Tamandua tetradactyla: one gene and its partner. The protein of the gene in region 2 interacts with the protein of the main gene of each other region in a biochemical or structural test. Links are inferred from orthologs where the notes say so. Each region holds a gene or a part of one and is shown on either strand. Other genes may lie near its edges.

Region 1 (7,674 bases), about 61 Mb from region 2:
GGCCGGTCAGGTGAGGATGAGGTCTCTTGAGGGGTGAAGAGGCAGGGTGCCTGGAGAGAGGGGCGGCACGGTGAGCCTGGAACTTTCCTGAGTGGAAGGTGGCTTCCTGGACTTCTGCCATTAGGCAGGCGAATCCCTCAGGCTGCCGCCAGATGGCGGTGCTGTTCTGGAACCATTCCAGTGGGACAATGCCTGGCACCCACACCCCCACCCCACCCCACTCCACCACACACAAGAATTTGGGACTGGATGGAGGATAAAAGCAAGATATTGGCCCTCTTTAATATCCACGAAACCAAAGCTGAGGGGATGGGGGTGGAAAGGTAAAAGGAAAGGGAGAGTAGTGAAGGTGAACCTAGGAAGAGGCCTCTCTCCGCCCTGTCCGAGGCCTTTGTCTAGTCAAGTCTGCTATTTCCAATACTACCCACCCTAAGCTTCCACCTTTTACAGCACAATCATAGTTTCACAAACCCCAAGAAGGTGCCATGTGGAGAGAGGCTGAGTTTGGCCATTGCTCGAGGGATGATAACACTCAGAATATCCCCCTGATATAAATGGAAGACACCTGAGGAAAGAGAGAAAATAGATGCTCAGTAAAGTAGCCATCCCGACACTCTTCTACCTCACCCTCCCTTCTCCAGCTCCAGCTTTTTTCTGCCGTCAGTAAGGACCTAGATATTTTGTCCTTTCTTCCGCAAATCTTCCCCATCATAGTTCCCCATTAGCGCCATGTCTGCTCTCCTCAGCCGCCTCCACTGCCCAGTGGCTCTCACCTGCACTGTAGCAGCTATTGTAAGCCCGGTCGGGGTTGGAGGGCATACTTTGCACACATCGGAACAGAGTCTCTTGCCTTCCCTGGCTCTCCCGAGACACCACTTGGCCCATGGTGAAGGTCACGTCATGAAACAGGACCTGGCAGGGCAGGAGGGAGATGTTTCAGAGACTTAGTTCTAGGAGGCTTCAGAAGCCCCAAGATGGGAGGCTGGAGGGGGTCTTCTCAAGTTGATATGGACAGAGGTATCCAGGCCCCCCGGTGAGGATCAGGGTATGTTGGGGTTACCTGGCTATACAGCAGATAAATTCCAGTGTCCCAGACTCGGACAACGTATCCTTGGGCCTCAAGACCTCTCCCACGCTTAAGAGTTGGTTGCCACATCACTTCTGTCACATCAGAGTCCTCTGGAGGTGAGGAGCCTGACAGTTAAGATTCCTCTGCACTCTCAGACACTTTGGTGACTCTCACCTTTTTACCTCTATGATTCTCTGGAGCCCCGCTGCCAGCCCCCAGGTTCCCAGGTCTTACCCCTCCCACCAAGTCATTTTTAAAACAGTGCTCACCCTTGGAGGTGATGTTAACGGGAACAAGGTGCAGAACTGAGTGCTTCTCTGAGGAGAAAAGGAGATCTCAGTAGGGCCTGCCACCCAATCCTGTTGTCTCAGCCCTGGGCAACAGACCCCATGCTGCTTGGTCACCTCCCACCCCTCCTGCACCCCAGAGGCCTCACTCTTCTGTTTGTGGGTGAGCACTGCTCTCCTTCTCCGGGATCTCCCCCCATTCCAGGTTCCCAGGTCATCAGGGCTCTGCATATGGAAAGAGGGTCAGTTATGCCAAGACGCAAAGGCCCCAGAGAGCCTTCCCTCCCAGACCATTCCCCACCACCACCACCCCACCCTGTGCCCCAGGAATGCCTCAGATGTCCCCTGCCCCTTTCCCCAGCCCCCTCAGTCTCAGTACTGGCTGTCCTCCAGGATCTATTAGGTATCAGAAGCATTAATCTTTAACAGTTTCCTTTCCTCAAATGGCCACTCTCTTGCCTTCCAAACCCAGTGACCCTCTTCTGAATCTGCTTAAAACTTTGCCCACCAGGAGGCAGGAGCTGAGAAGCCCAGAGAACCCCTGCCACCCATCCCTCTCTTCCAGACATTGTTCTGTTCTCACTTACCTGCTCCTGGAGGCTCTGCCAGGGGTACCCCTCCCCCTTCTGGGGAGGGCCTGCAGTCCTCTGCAGCCAGGCCACCTCTCTCCTTAGGTTTTGCAGCTCTGTTTGTTGAATCAGCAATGCCATGGCACAAGCCACAGCACCCAGAGCCGCCCCCCAACTCAACCAGAGGGCAAGAGAGAGTGCCCGCTCTTGGACCGGGCTCTCCCTGTCACCTGGGAACCCTTGGGGGGCTAGTGAGGCAGGAGACAAAGCTGGCATGAGCTGGGGACACTGCTAACAGCTGTGCCTTCGGGAGTGGGGTAGCAAGGAGGTGGCAGGGAGGATGGGAGTGCAGGCAGTAGTGCAGTAGGAAAGAAGGGCCTTACGCAAGGGAGAGATAAAAAGGAACTTGAGAGTGAAAAGGACAGAGGAGGAAAGCAAGCAAGGAGTATTGTCTGGTGCTCCCAAGTACCCCGCAGTGGGACCAGTGTCGCCTGAGACCCCACCCCCGCCCCCCCACCCCCCCAGTCTCAGGGGAATCTGGTGTCAGTCCCTCTAGGAAGGACAGGGCTGCCAATGACACCCAGGAGGAGCGGCCTGAGCCCAGGAGCCCTGGGGCCGCCCCAGAAGTGGGGGGAGGGAGGGTTGGCTGGCTCCAGGGCATGGTGCCAGGAGGAGGGATGGAAGACAAGCTGGGCAGGGGCGAGGGTCGGGGATGAAGGTGGCTGACATCGGCTCTCTGGCTCTGGTGCTGGAGATCTCGGTGACCTGCTAGGGGTGACTGAAGCTGGGGGGTGGGAGGGGGCAGGGAGGAGAATCACAATCGCAGAAGCAAAAAATCCTGGGGTTAAGGCTGGGTCGGGTGTGTTGGAATCAGCCTTGCACTACTCCCTAGGCTGAACTTGGCAAGCAGGAGACTTCCTGTTTCCCGAGAAAAGCTCTTACATAAGGCTATAGATGAAGAGAGAAAGAGGCAGCCCCGGACACCCTCGCCACCGTAGGATTCCTCCCTGGGACCCAGGGCCCGGGTCCCCATGTTCCCGAGGCCCCCCAGCATCCCACCTGCTGACCCTGGGCCCCTACCCTTATCCCAGCCAGGGTCTGTGCCCGAGGCCAAGAGGAAGCGTCCCCTGCTCCTCCCGGCCAGGGATTCCCCTGCAGGAGGAGGTCCGCCTCTTAGGTAAATGAGGCCTGTTGTGCTGTACCTTGGGCCAAGAACTGATTTTGTCCTGGGCAGGCTGCCTTGCCACTCTGGGCTCACATCTTGGGGTCAGAGACACGCAGGTTCCCCCACTCCTGTTCTGTACAATCCCCTGGAATTATTCCAGGTGTCCTGCGCCCCTCTCCCCAAAGTCCAGAATCCCCCTTCCCCATGCCACTTGGCTACCCTGAAAATGTCCATTAAGCCCCAATAAAGAGACAGCCCATGACTTCTTTTCTTTAATATCCACTTATCAACATTTTTGTTGCAATAATAATAAAAATAACATCTGTTTTAAAAATCCACAGGGAATTGTTAGGGGAGGAGCTCTGTCTTGCCCTCGTATCCCTCACACTGGGCAACTCCTGGCCCAGGTCCCTAGTCTTGGCTTCCTGCCACCAGGTCCAGCCCCTCTCAGTGCTGGAGGAGGGGTCTTCCGACCCATCCTGGCCTACGAGTACAGTAAACACACTGTCCTGGGGCTACAAGCCAGGGTCAGGGGCAGGAGATAAATGGGGCTTAGAAAGGCCAGAGGTTTGGAAATTAGTGAGGTGGAGAGCCAGGGGCCAGGGGTGGGGAGACTGTAAGAGAAGAATGGGAATATTTATGTGGGAAGGGAACCCAGTGAAAGAGCCCTGGCAGCTTACAGAGAGAGGGGCAGAGGGGACCCTGGTGCTTGTGCTGTGGGGGCCCAGCAGCCTGGCAAAGCCACGGTGAGTCCAGGGCCCCTCAGTGAATTTGGAAGAGTCCAAAGTAGGTAAGGAAGGGGGCAGCCTTGAGATGGGCCCAAGGGAGGGTGCGGATGCGCAGGGAGGACCCCAGCCTCAGGGGCAGCAGCCCGGACACCTGGCAGAGACGGAGCTGGGGCCCGAGGGAGCTGGCAGCGGTGGCCGAGAATTCCTCCAGGCAGCGCAGGGCCAGTGAGTCATCCACCAGCAAGTCCAGCTTCAGGTAGACAGCCTTCCCCTCATCAAAGTGCACCTGGGGGGCAGGCCCAGACGCTGCCTGCCTTTGCCTCTGGTTCAGATTTCCTTAGAGACCCAGCTATCCCATCCCACCCAGACCCCAAGCTCTCTCTCTTCAGTCTTAGCTGGCCCCCTAACCTCTCCCCACCCCACCCCTGAGAAAAGAAAACCTCTCCCCCACTTACCACGTGGAGCCAAGTGGGGCTTACCTGACAATACAGGTAGTAGAGCCCAGGGCGGGTGACAGTGAATTCCCCGCTCTGGCGATCATAACGCAGTGGGTTGGAGCTGTTGATTTTGGCCTCTTCCCAGCCACGCACTGTCCCGTCCACACCTGACCATTGTTGGTGTTGAGAGATAAGGAAAAGTCCCTTTACAGGACCGCCCCACGCTCCGCAGGGATCCACCGACTTTACAAATGTTAGGAGCATAAATGACCCAGAAGATACACAGATCCCAGGTCAACGGGGGAGCCTGGTACATGGTAGAAAAAGTTATGTGAAGAAATCCAACACGTACCTGATTAAACATGCAAAGGAAAGGACCAGAAAATAGAGAGCAAATTGTCCTCAGTAGTCACTTCTGGGGAGACGAGTTGGATCGAAGGAGAAGCGGGGCAGCGGTGGTGGTGAAGACAACACTTTTTTTATACTTTATTTCATCTACGTCTATATTGTTTGCCTCGTTTACATTGAGAATGTACACATACATTAATCGAAGCATACATACATTACCTGAATTATTAAAAATAAAGTCATATCCAGATATCCATCAATTGAGGAACGGATAAACAAAATGTGGAATATTATTGGGCAATAAAAAAAGAATGAAGTTCTGATCTAGCCTACAACATGAATGAACCTTGAAAACACTTTATGCTAAGTGAAAGAAACCAGTCACAAAGGACCACATATTATATGACTCCATTTATATGAAGTGCCCAGACTAGGCAAAGATGTAGAGACAGAAAGTAGATTAGTGATTGCTAAGGATTGGGGTGTGGGAGCTTGAGAGGTGACAGCTAAAGGACATGGTGTTGCTTTCCAAGGTGAAGAGAATGAACTAAAATCGATCGTGTGCTGGCTGAACAAAAATTCAGTGAATATGCTAAAAATCATTTTGCTTATCCATTCATGGCATGTGAATTATATCTCAATAAAGCTGTTTCCAAAACAACAACAACAGGGCGGGCCGCGGTGGCTCAGCGGGCAAGAGTGCTTGCCTGCCGTGCCGGAGGACCCCGGTTCGATTCCCGGCCCCAGCCCATGTAAAAAACAAACAAACAAACAAAATATAATAAAAAAAAACAAGAAAATGTTTAAAAATGTTTCCCTTTCTTCCTCCTTTCCTTCCTTCCATCCTTCCTTCCTTCTCTGTCTTTCCTTCCTTTAAAAAAAAAAAAAAAAAAAAAAAACAACAAAAACCCTCTAGAGCTGGAGTAATTGCAAATTGAAAAATAACAATAATAATAAAATGATAAAGCAGTGTATCTCATGGCTTCCCAGGTTTTCTTTGGTCTGCCCACCTACCTCGCCAATCTCATCTCACACCTGCACTCCAATTCACAAGGCTCCAGCCACTCTGGCCTTCTCTCTGTTCCTTCTCACATGCCACACTCCTTCTCAGACACGCTCCCAGGGTTCCTCTCCTAGCTGGCACCTTCTTTCTTCCCTCCCTCCCTTCCTTATTTTTATTGTGGTAACATATGCCCAACATAAAATCTCCCATGTTTACCACTCTCAAGTATACAACTCAGCGGTGTTAACTACAGTCACACTGTTGTGTTCTCATCACCAGCAGCCACGACCAAAACCCTTCCATCACCACAGACAGAAACTCTGTTCCCATCAAGCCTTAACTCCCCACCCCTCCCCCAGTCTCTGTAACCCATATTCTAATTTCTGATGCTGAATTTGCATATTCTAATTATTTCATATAAGTGAGATCAGAAAATATTTCTTCTTTTGTATATGGCTTATTTCACTCAACATTGCATCTTCAAGATTCAGCCATGTTGTAGTGTGCATCAAAACTTCATTCCTTTTTTGGCTGCATAATATTCCATTGCATTTTATTTATCCATTCATCTAGTTGATAGGCACTTGGGTTGCTTCCGGTACCTTCTATCTGTCAGGTCTCAACTCATCTGAGAGACCTTCCCAGGCACCCAGTTTAAAATAACCAGTCCCATTCCTGCCCCTATTGATCTCTTCACATCACCCTATGTCTTTCAGAGCAGTCGCCAGCAGTGGAAATTATCTAATTTGTTTATGTACGTGTTAGTTTGGGGTGTAACTCCCCTGCGAGAGCAGGGGCAACCTTGTCTGGCTTCCAGTCTCTGGCGTCTGGGGACAGGCCTAGTCTCAGCAGGTACCCAGTCAGTATTGCTGGGAAGACAGAGGGAAGGAGGTGAAAAGGGCTGGCAGCTTTTGCTTGGGTTCATGGGTCTCTCCCCTGGTCCTCACCAGCAAGACTCAAGGAGACTTGGCAGCTGCTTCCTCTGTCCTTATCACTTTCAAGCCACATACTCTGGTTGGACATTATCACTACTGATGATGGGTGTATCATGAGCGAAACTTTGTAGACAGATCTGAGTTTCCAACCCTGAAGTGTCCTGCCCTTCCTTGCCCTGCTAAATGCTGCCATCTGATAGCTGTGGGCACCTCAAACTCATCTTGGTCACACCGCGCTTGTCCCTCACCCCACTTCAAACTTGCTTTACTGTCTGTATTACATTTTTGGCTCTGGTTTCACCCTTCCTCTCCTATAATGCCAACTTTATTCATTGATCATCAGTTCCCAACAATTTTGCCTCCTAAATGACTTTCCCAACTCTGTCCCAAGCCTATTCTCTGACATTTCTCATGGGACTACTCTGCTTCGGGCCTCCTACTTCCAATCTTGTCTCCTCCAGCTTACTCCCTGCACACACAAGGCCACAGTGATGTTTCTAAAAGGCAGATTTGATCCTGCCGCCCCTTGCCCTTATTCTTTTGATGGCTCACCTCTAAATAACTCCCATACTCCTTTTGCGACCTGGCTTCTGTCCTCTTCTCCAGCCTCCTACCCTGTCCTGTCCCTCCAGTACTTTCAGCTTTGGCCACACTGAACTTCTCACAGTCCCCCAGCCTCATCACACTCTTGGAGAATTCAGGGCTTTTGTACAAGTGCTTCCTTTTATCTGTAATGTCCTGAACCCTTTGTCCATCTTATGCTCAGGCTCCAAGGCCCAACGAAGCCCCACTTTCTTGGGGAAAGAGTCCTGAATGCCATTGTAAAGTTTGTCTTCCTCTATACCACCAGGTATCTTCAGCTATTGCATTATTAAACTCGTTGTATTGTAATATAATTGCACATTTGTATGCCTAACTCCTCTCTTACACGGTGACTCCTTGAGGATAGGCCTGAGTCTTATGTGGTCATGCTGGCCCATTCCCTAACACACCGTAGTCTCTCAGTGCATGTGTGTTGAATTAATGAATGAACAAACAAATGAATGGTTGGGTCACTGCTAAAATAAGTGGTGCATGCAGAGGGGAAGAAGACTAGCCTGGAGCATGACAAGTAGCAGGGAGGGGGCATTCCT
Region 2 (8,065 bases):
TGGAGAAACTGGAACCCTCATATGTAGCTTTTGGGATTATAAAACGGTGCAGCCCCTTTGAAAAACATTTGGCAGTTTCTCAAAATGTTAAACACAGTTGCCACAGGAACCAACAATTCCACTTGGGTCTCTGTTTACCCAGGAGAAAGGAAAACGTGGGCCACACAAAACCTGGACACCAATGCTCACGGAAGCATTGTCCACAAGAGCCCAGAAGTGGCAACAACTCACCGTGTCCATTAACAGATAATGGATAAAGAAAATGTGTTCTAACCACACAGTGAAGCTTATTTGGTCACAGAAAGGAATGACGTACTGATATTTTCTGTAACCTGGATGTACCTGGAAAACATTATGCTTAGTGAAAGAAGCAGCCACAAAGCACCAGGTATTGTAGGTTCCACTTATATGAAATGCCCAGAACTGGCAAAACTGCAGAGACGGAAAGGAGACTGGTATTTCCTCAGGGTGGGGGGTGGGGGATAAAAATGCCCTAAAACTGAATTATGGTGAGTGGCAGTTCACCTCTGTCACTGCACTGAAAGCATTTAGCCACACACCTTAAGCAGGAGAACTTCATGGGGTGAAATTATATCCCAATAAAGCCGTCAGGGGAGGCAGGAACTGGGGATGGGGAACAAAAAGAAAGGAGGAGTTTTTTCTGTATTCTTCCTATACTTTCTGGTTTTCAAATCACGTGGTATGCCACCTGTTTAGAAATCACCAGGAGGAGCTAGAAGGGAAAACCTGAAATTGTGGAACTGCAACCCATACTACACTTAGAAATCTGTTGTATAACCGCTTGTTGAAATGTACTTTAAAATGCATTGCTTTTCCTGTGTATATGCTAGATCTCACAATAAATAATGTTTAAAACTGAATAAATGAGGGGGTGTAAGGGTGGTTCAGTGGCGGAGCTCTCACCTGCCATGTGAGGGACCCGGGTTCGATTACCGGTCTATGCACTTCCCCCAAAAACAAACAACCGAAACAAAGAAAAAACAAATAAAAAGTCAACAAATGGTGCCGCAATAACGGATTATTCACATGGAAAAAGAATGAAATGTGACCCTGTCATACAGCATACAAAAAATTTTTTTTTTTAATGAATAAATGCCCCTCAAAAAAATCACCAGGAATGGATAAAGTGAAAGAGACCCTGCTCCCCTCCCACCTGAAGGGGGAGTGGCAGGGAGGGCGTCTCACTCTCTCTGACACACACACGTGCACACACATGCATGCACACACACACGCATGCACATGCACGCGCATGCACACACACACACACACACACACACACACACACAGCCCGGGGCGGCTGTGGGCGGGAAGGTCGTCCCTGCTTCCTCTCTACCACCACCTAAACCCCGAAAACCCCAGAACCATCATCCACCCCCAAAGAGGGCCCAGCTGGGGAGAGGCTGGAGAAAGAAGCCCGGGAGAGGTAAAGGGGCCAGGGGAGAACGCGCTTCCACTCGCCGGGGCTGGGGGCTGGGCTGGGCCCCAGGGTCCAGCCAGGATGAAGCAGCGGAGAGTCTCCGGGGCCACAGAGAGCAGAGAGGAGCCAAGAGGCAAGGGCCGGGTCTCAAAGGAGCTGCCCCGTTTCCCCAAACTGCCTGGGCTTCGTCACAGTGACCCACAAAAACAGCTCCCCTGCCAGCTTAGGCTGAAAAGTGCTGCGCTGAAGAGAATCAAGGCCTTTTTTTTTTTTGACTGCAGGCCTTCTCAAAGCCTTTGCTTGTGACTCTTCAAGGGGTGCTTTGGCAGGTACCAAGCCCTTTCTGGTTGGGGGACCCTCTGGCAGGCCAGAGGCCCTTCATTTTAAGGTGGAGGAAGTGGAGGCCCAGCAGGGGAGGGAGCTTGTTCCAGGCCCCAGGGTGGGTCTGCGAGCAGGGGAGCGCAAAGCAGGTCCCCTGGGCCCTGCCGGGAGTCGCGGCTGACCATCCTGCACACGTGGCTTCGCCCCCACCAGCGTGGCCCTGGGCTGGTCCCTGCCCTATGGTGCCAGCCGAGCCATCCCTACTCGCTACCCTGTCCAGCTCTCAGAAATGTGTGGGGGCACGGCCGCTGGACACACAGGGGGTCAGCGAAGGGACACGTGCCTCCCGAGGTGGGGGAGAGAGGGTGGCCGAGAGCAGCTGGAGGCTGTGCTGGGCAGCCCCAGGCCCCACCAGCCCCGGGCCTTGGGCACAGCCCGTGTTAGTTACTTACACTCCCAGCAAAATTGCATCTTCAAATCAGCCCATACAGCCCGCCCTGAAAAAATTCCATGGGACCCAGTTTCTTCACCAGAGAAGGAGCAAGGCAAAATACAAAAAAAGGAGCGGGAACTGTCTCCAACTAAAACGAAAGCACGATGCTGTGCTTGAAATTAATGCGACCGAATCGCACACTTGAAGGTGGTCAAAATGGGACATTTGAAGACACATAGAAATTTATGACAAATTTTACCAACGTTTTGTTGTTGTTGTTTTTATAAAGGATCTGAAGAAAAAAAAAAGTAACCAAAGGTGGGCTCTATGCAGACCCCCGTTTCAGTGAATGAGCGGGACTAGATTTATAAGGCAGCCAGGACCGCCCGGGAGCTGCCCGGCGTCTAGCGGCATGAAGGAAAGTGGGTGGCACGACGGTGAGTCCGGTTTTTTGGGCCCTTGTGTTTGGGAGACACACCCTGAGTAAACCCTCACCAAATGACGCGCTGTTCGTTAGCTTTAAAGTAATGCCGGGGCGACGAGAGGGGAATGGGGGGCCCGGTGATGGACAGCTGGCTGGACACAGGCCATTACAGAAGCTGGGGGCGTCTGCGGGCTTCTTTCCCGCTCCCTGCTGGCTCTTTGCAGCTGCAGCTTTAAAATGAAGCGTTGAGAAGGGCCACGTCCAGTCCGGCCTCGACCCCCTTCCCTGGACTGCCTGCTCCCCCCCCCCGCCCCGGCTCCCAGGGTCTGGGCTCCCAGCAGGCAGGGCCGGGGTAGGGTCAGGCTGCCCGCACCCACCCAGGTACTCACAGCGCGCGGCGAGGCTCATCCCTCGGGACGCGGGTCTGGCCGTGGGGTGGCTGGTGCCTCGGTAGCCCTGTCTGGGTTTTCCCCCACCCATGAGATGTAAATCAGCAGCCCCCGCCTGCCCCGCGCCTGCGCTACCAGGCCCAGAGCAGCCCAGCTGGGGCTCCTTCCGCCCCCTCCCACGGTGCCCCTGGAATCCCACCCCATCTGCGCCTGAGCACCTACTATGTGCAAGCAGGGAGCCAAGGCCCTGCTCATGCCTGGGATGTAGAGTAAACTCTGTCCTGAACTCAACCCTTCCCCATGTCTGCTTCGTCGCCTCCTCCTCCTCCTTCTTCCAGGCTAGGTGGAGGGGTCACCTCCTCTGGGAAGCCCTCCCTGACTGCCCCCACCAAGGTCAGTGCCACTCTCTGGGCTGCCTCTAACCCTATGAAAGCGCTGGAGAGGACAAACCCAGAGACAGGCAGACGGGGTTTGAATCTTGGCTCTGCTGCTTACCGGCTGGTGGCCAAGGGCAGTTTCCTTACCCGCTCTGGGCCTCCATTTTCTTGTCCTCACGGTGATGAGAAGGAAGTGAGTTAACCCAATAAAGTTCTTAGCATGAGTCCTTGGCCTGGAGTCAGTTCCCAATAAACAGAGCCAGGACAGAAAGCTCTTACTACACTGTTGTAACCTTCTTAACTCTGAAATCTCCAGTCTTACTCTAACACATCCCACGTACTTCCAGGTACAATTTTTATTCTGCAGCCAAAACAGGCCGATCCGACAGGTAAAGGCAATTTGCCCTACCTGCTCCTTTTCTCCAAATCTTAGCAACCTTCCCACAAAAGCTAGAAGGAAGCAGAAATCATCCATCTGTGCCCCCTGGGGGCGGGCGGGTGGCCTGCCCCTCTCTCCTCTCGCCCATGCGCTGGCCTCAGGTAACAAGATGTGGACACATAAAAAGTACTGTCTTCTAAATTCTATGCGGAGTAGAATTAAACACCACCTGGGAATTAAACATTGTTTTGAGGGGCTCAAAATTTAATTTATATTTAAATTACACAGACATGACACATTTTGACAAAGAGCTGCTGTGCAATAATCTCGTGATGTTATTTCTTTTTGCTTGTTTGTTTTTAAAGCTTTTATTCTGGTAACAAATAGCATAAAATTTCCCATTTTATCCACGTTCAATGATACAATTCAGGGGTGTTAATTAAATTCACAAAGTTGTGCCTCCATCACTATCATCCATTATCAAAACTCTTTCATCACCCCAAACAGAAAACTCCACGCCAGCCAAGCGTAACTCCCCTTTCCCCATCCCGGCCCCTGTGACTAGTAACTTGAATCATCATTTCGGCCTCTATGAATTTGCTTATTTGTCCTTTTGTACCTGAGTTTTTTCACTCAACATGCCTTAAAGGTCCATCCATGTATCAGAACTTCCTTCCTTCTCACAGCTAATAATATCCTGCTGTACATCTGCACCGCCCTTTGTTTAGCCGTTCATCGGTTGAGGGGCATGTGGGTTCCAACTGCGAAGAAGGCCACTGTGGATTTCCGTGTGAAAATACCTGTTTGAGCCCCTGCTTTCAGTTCTTTTGGGTTCACTCCTAGAAGCGGAATTGCCAGGTCATATGGAACTCGATACTTGACTTTCCGAGGAACCACCGAACTGTTTTCCACGGAAGCTGCACTCTTTTACACCCCGCAACAGTGCCTCGGGTTCCTGTCTCTCCACATCCTCTCCCACACTTGTCATTTTCCTTTTTTTTTTAAAGTAACCATTTTAGTAGGTATGAAAGGCTATCTTGTGGTTTTATTTGCATCTCTCTGATGGCTAAAGATGTGAGGCATCTTCTCATGAGCTTACTAGCCATTTATATATCTTCTTTGGAGAAATTTTTATGGAAATTTTTTGCCCATTTTATTTGGGTTGTTTGTCTTTCTTGAGTTGTCAGAGTTCTTTATATATTCTAGATATTAAGCCCTTATCAGATACATATAGTTGCCAAATATTTTTCCTTCAATCTGTAGGTTGCCTTTTTACTTTTTTGATAAAGTCCTTGGATCCTCAAAAGTTTTTAATTGATGAAGTCACGTTTACCTATTTTTTGTTTGTTTTTTTTTTTACATGGGCAGGCACCGGGAATCGAACCCGGGTCCTTGGGCATGGCAGGCAAGCATTCTTACCTGCGGAGCCACCGTGGCCCGCCCCCTATTTCTTGTTTTGTTGGTTGTACTTTGGGTATAAATTCTAGGAAAGCACTGCCCTGCATGTGGTCTCGAACATGCTTCCCGATGTTTTCCTCCAGGAATTGTATAGTCTTGGTTTTTATATTTACGTCTTTGATCCATTTTGAGTTCTTTCCTTTTCATTTTGGTTTGAAAAATAACATTTAAAAAATTTTTTTAAAGTTAATTGTGCAGTATAGAAATCAGAAAAGCACAGGAAGGAAAGAACGCAAAACTCATCCAGAATCCTCCGAATTCACAGCTAGGCCTCTCCTCCTAGCCCCTTCTGTGTCGCGCACGGCTGAGCATGCATTGTTGTGTGGCTGCGATCCCACGGAATGGGTCATGCTTTTTCATGAATATTTCGAGTCCCAAAGCCGTGAGGATTGTAACCAAAGTGCAGGACGCCCCGAGTCAACCTTTGAATGCGCTGCGGGACGGGTGTCTCCCTTCTCTCGTGCGGACACAGTTCCCAGCACCCTTTGATGAAGAGGCCGCACTGGCGCCCTTCTCAGAGGCCAGCTGGCCGTGGATGTGAGGCCCTGGTTATGTCTCTGATTCCCCTGCTCCCTGAAACCCAGCGCAACTTTTGGGGTGGCTGAGAATGGAAGGGCAGCGCTCCTTCGTCACCCTTCTGTCCAAACCTGTCTTAGAGGTTAGGAACTTGACCTACTGTTTCGTTTTCTTTGATGTGAGGTGCAATTTACATGCAGTGAAACCCCATGCGTGCTTCCACCCTCGGAGCTGCTGCCTTGGGGACCCAGACGAGCCAGGTGCACCCCAGAAGGCTCCCTCAGGCCCTTCCAGGCAGTAGAAAGCGCCCCACCCCACCCGGAGGTAGCCACCCCTCCGGCCCCTTGCCAGAGACGCACGGTGCCTGCACTTGGCATAAGTGCATTCATCCTATGTCCACCTCTTTCTCTCCATATTGGATATTAATGAACTGGACAGAAGCCAGCTGCGGCCTCGGCGGGGGGTGGGGGTGTCGCTGCATCTCCGGGGGGGGCCACGCCAAGCCCCCAGAATAACCTGGAGGAAGCACCCCAGCCCCCACCAGCCCCAAGGGCCACACGATGTGGGGGTGTCACTGCGGGGTGGCCCGGTGAGCCCCTGGACCTGCACACGTGGGGTCCCTCGGAGCAGGGGAGGGTTCTGAGCCCCCCAAGCCTCACTCTGCAGCCCTTTCTGGGTTTTCTCCAGAGGACCCGGGGTCCTAATTTTTTAACATTGTTCATTGTGAAAAATGACATAAACTCAAAGTAAAGAAAGAAATACTTTTCAAAGCACACTTCAACAAGTAGTTACAGAACAGATCCCAGAGTTTGTCATGGGCTACCACTCCACCATCTCAGGTTTTTCCTTCTCGCTGCTCCAGAACCTGGAGGCTGGAAGGAATATCAATATAGTAATTCAGCAGCCATACTCCATCTGTTAAATCCCATTTTCTCTGTTATACCTCCTCTTGTCTCCTCTGATCCTTCTCCCAATCTACAGGGATCTTTGGGCAATGTCTGTTGTGACTTTTTCATGTTGAGAAGGGATGTCTACTGAAGGAGAGGGGGATGGAACTAATTGATAATTCTGGAGAGGCTGGTCCCTCTGGGTTTCAGGAGTCATCTGATCCAAGAATCCTCTGGGAATATATGTTTCAGGGAGGCAAACCTAGAGATGAAACCTCTACAGAGTCTCAGTTCGAGCCCTAGGTGTTCTTAAGAGTCAACAGGAGTGATGGTGGTTGGGGTTTGGCTGACATGGGAATCAGCACTATCTAACTGAGGCTTGCGTGACGGCAGCCTCCAGAGCAGCCTGTCGAGTCGACTTTATTTCTTTTGGCCACTGATGCCTTAGTTTATTACATTTCTTTCCCCCTTTGGGTCAGGAAGGCGTTGCCCATCCCACGGTGCCAGGGCCAGGCTCATCCTCGGGAGTCCCGCCCCACGTTGTCAGGGAAACTTTCACCCCTGAGGGTCACGTCCCGGGTGGAAGAGTCAGGATTCCATGTTTACGTCTCACAGTCAAGGTAGCAGGAATCTGGGGCCCAGAATAAAACCACCAGGCTTTCGGAGCTGACACCTGTGCATATGTACGTCTGCCCAAACAAATGTGCTCGTGGTGAGAAAAAAATGAAAAAAGGGAACAGAAGGAAAAGTACATTTCTCTCCAGCTGAGATTACCCAGTCCCTACGCAGAGGCCCTGGCCATCGGCAGAGCTTGTCCCCGCGCTGTCCGGCAAGCCCAGGCATTTGGGAGCCTTCCTGAGTAACCGCATTATCTGCTTTGCCTTGCCCCACCCCCTTTCTCACACAGCCATGGCCCTCTGTGCACTGAACGCTGTGTTCAGCCTCTTCCTTTCTTTCCTGGCACACACAGCCGATCGTCTGTCTGTTTCAACGTGCTCTTAAAGTGCAGAGACAGTGGTGACAGCAGAGCCTTCTGCAGCCCTGCCCGCTGCAGCGACTGTTCTCACCCCCTGCCCCGCTGCAGCGACTGTTCTCGACCTTTGTCTGCTCACCACACGTGTTTTACCTTCTGACTGACGCGGGGTTTCTCGTCCTGGGGAGGGAGGCTTTTGGCCGGTGTTTGCCAGTGAGCAGCTCAGATTTAAACAGGGACAGCTGTGAAATGGCTTCTCCTAAGTTCCTCAACCTGTTCTATATGTGGCATCTGGGCAGTGAGAGTTTCTGTCAGGGCCGCTCGCCGCCCCTCGCAGGCCCTTGGGACCTCGCTGGGGACACTTCTCCCGCCACCCGCCAGAGCAAGACAAAAGCAAAAGTGTCCAAAAAAAGGGTATTTCTTAGAAATGCAGTGAAAGCCCCAATTTTCATTATTGCAATTTACACACA

The links.
Region 1: the proteins of TNFRSF13B (region 2) and TNFSF13 form a complex in vitro, tested with the Homo sapiens proteins (2 studies listed by BioGRID and IntAct). The link is inferred for Tamandua tetradactyla from reciprocal best matches to the Homo sapiens genes TNFRSF13B and TNFSF13.

What each region holds. Positions count from the first base shown.
Region 1 is NC_135332.1:61,415,211-61,422,884, reverse strand, and holds TNFSF13 (tumor necrosis factor ligand superfamily member 13), read right to left. Parts: upstream 3,101-7,674; 5' UTR 2,202-3,100; coding exon 1,944-2,201; intron 1,582-1,943; coding exon 1,506-1,581; intron 1,387-1,505; coding exon 1,339-1,386; intron 1,195-1,338; coding exon 1,061-1,194; intron 913-1,060; coding exon 774-912; intron 566-773; coding exon 456-565; 3' UTR 258-455; downstream 1-257. Other genes in the region: TNFSF12 (tumor necrosis factor ligand superfamily member 12), read right to left, coding at 3,853-4,104, 4,298-4,422. UniProt on the Homo sapiens protein: Cytokine that binds to TNFRSF13B/TACI and to TNFRSF17/BCMA. Plays a role in the regulation of tumor cell growth. May be involved in monocyte/macrophage-mediated immunological processes.
Region 2 is NC_135332.1:524,064-532,128, forward strand, and holds the start of TNFRSF13B (tumor necrosis factor receptor superfamily member 13B), read right to left. Parts: upstream 3,062-8,065; 5' UTR 3,025-3,061; coding exon 3,006-3,024; intron 1-3,005. UniProt on the Homo sapiens protein: Receptor for TNFSF13/APRIL and TNFSF13B/TALL1/BAFF/BLYS that binds both ligands with similar high affinity. Mediates calcineurin-dependent activation of NF-AT, as well as activation of NF-kappa-B and AP-1.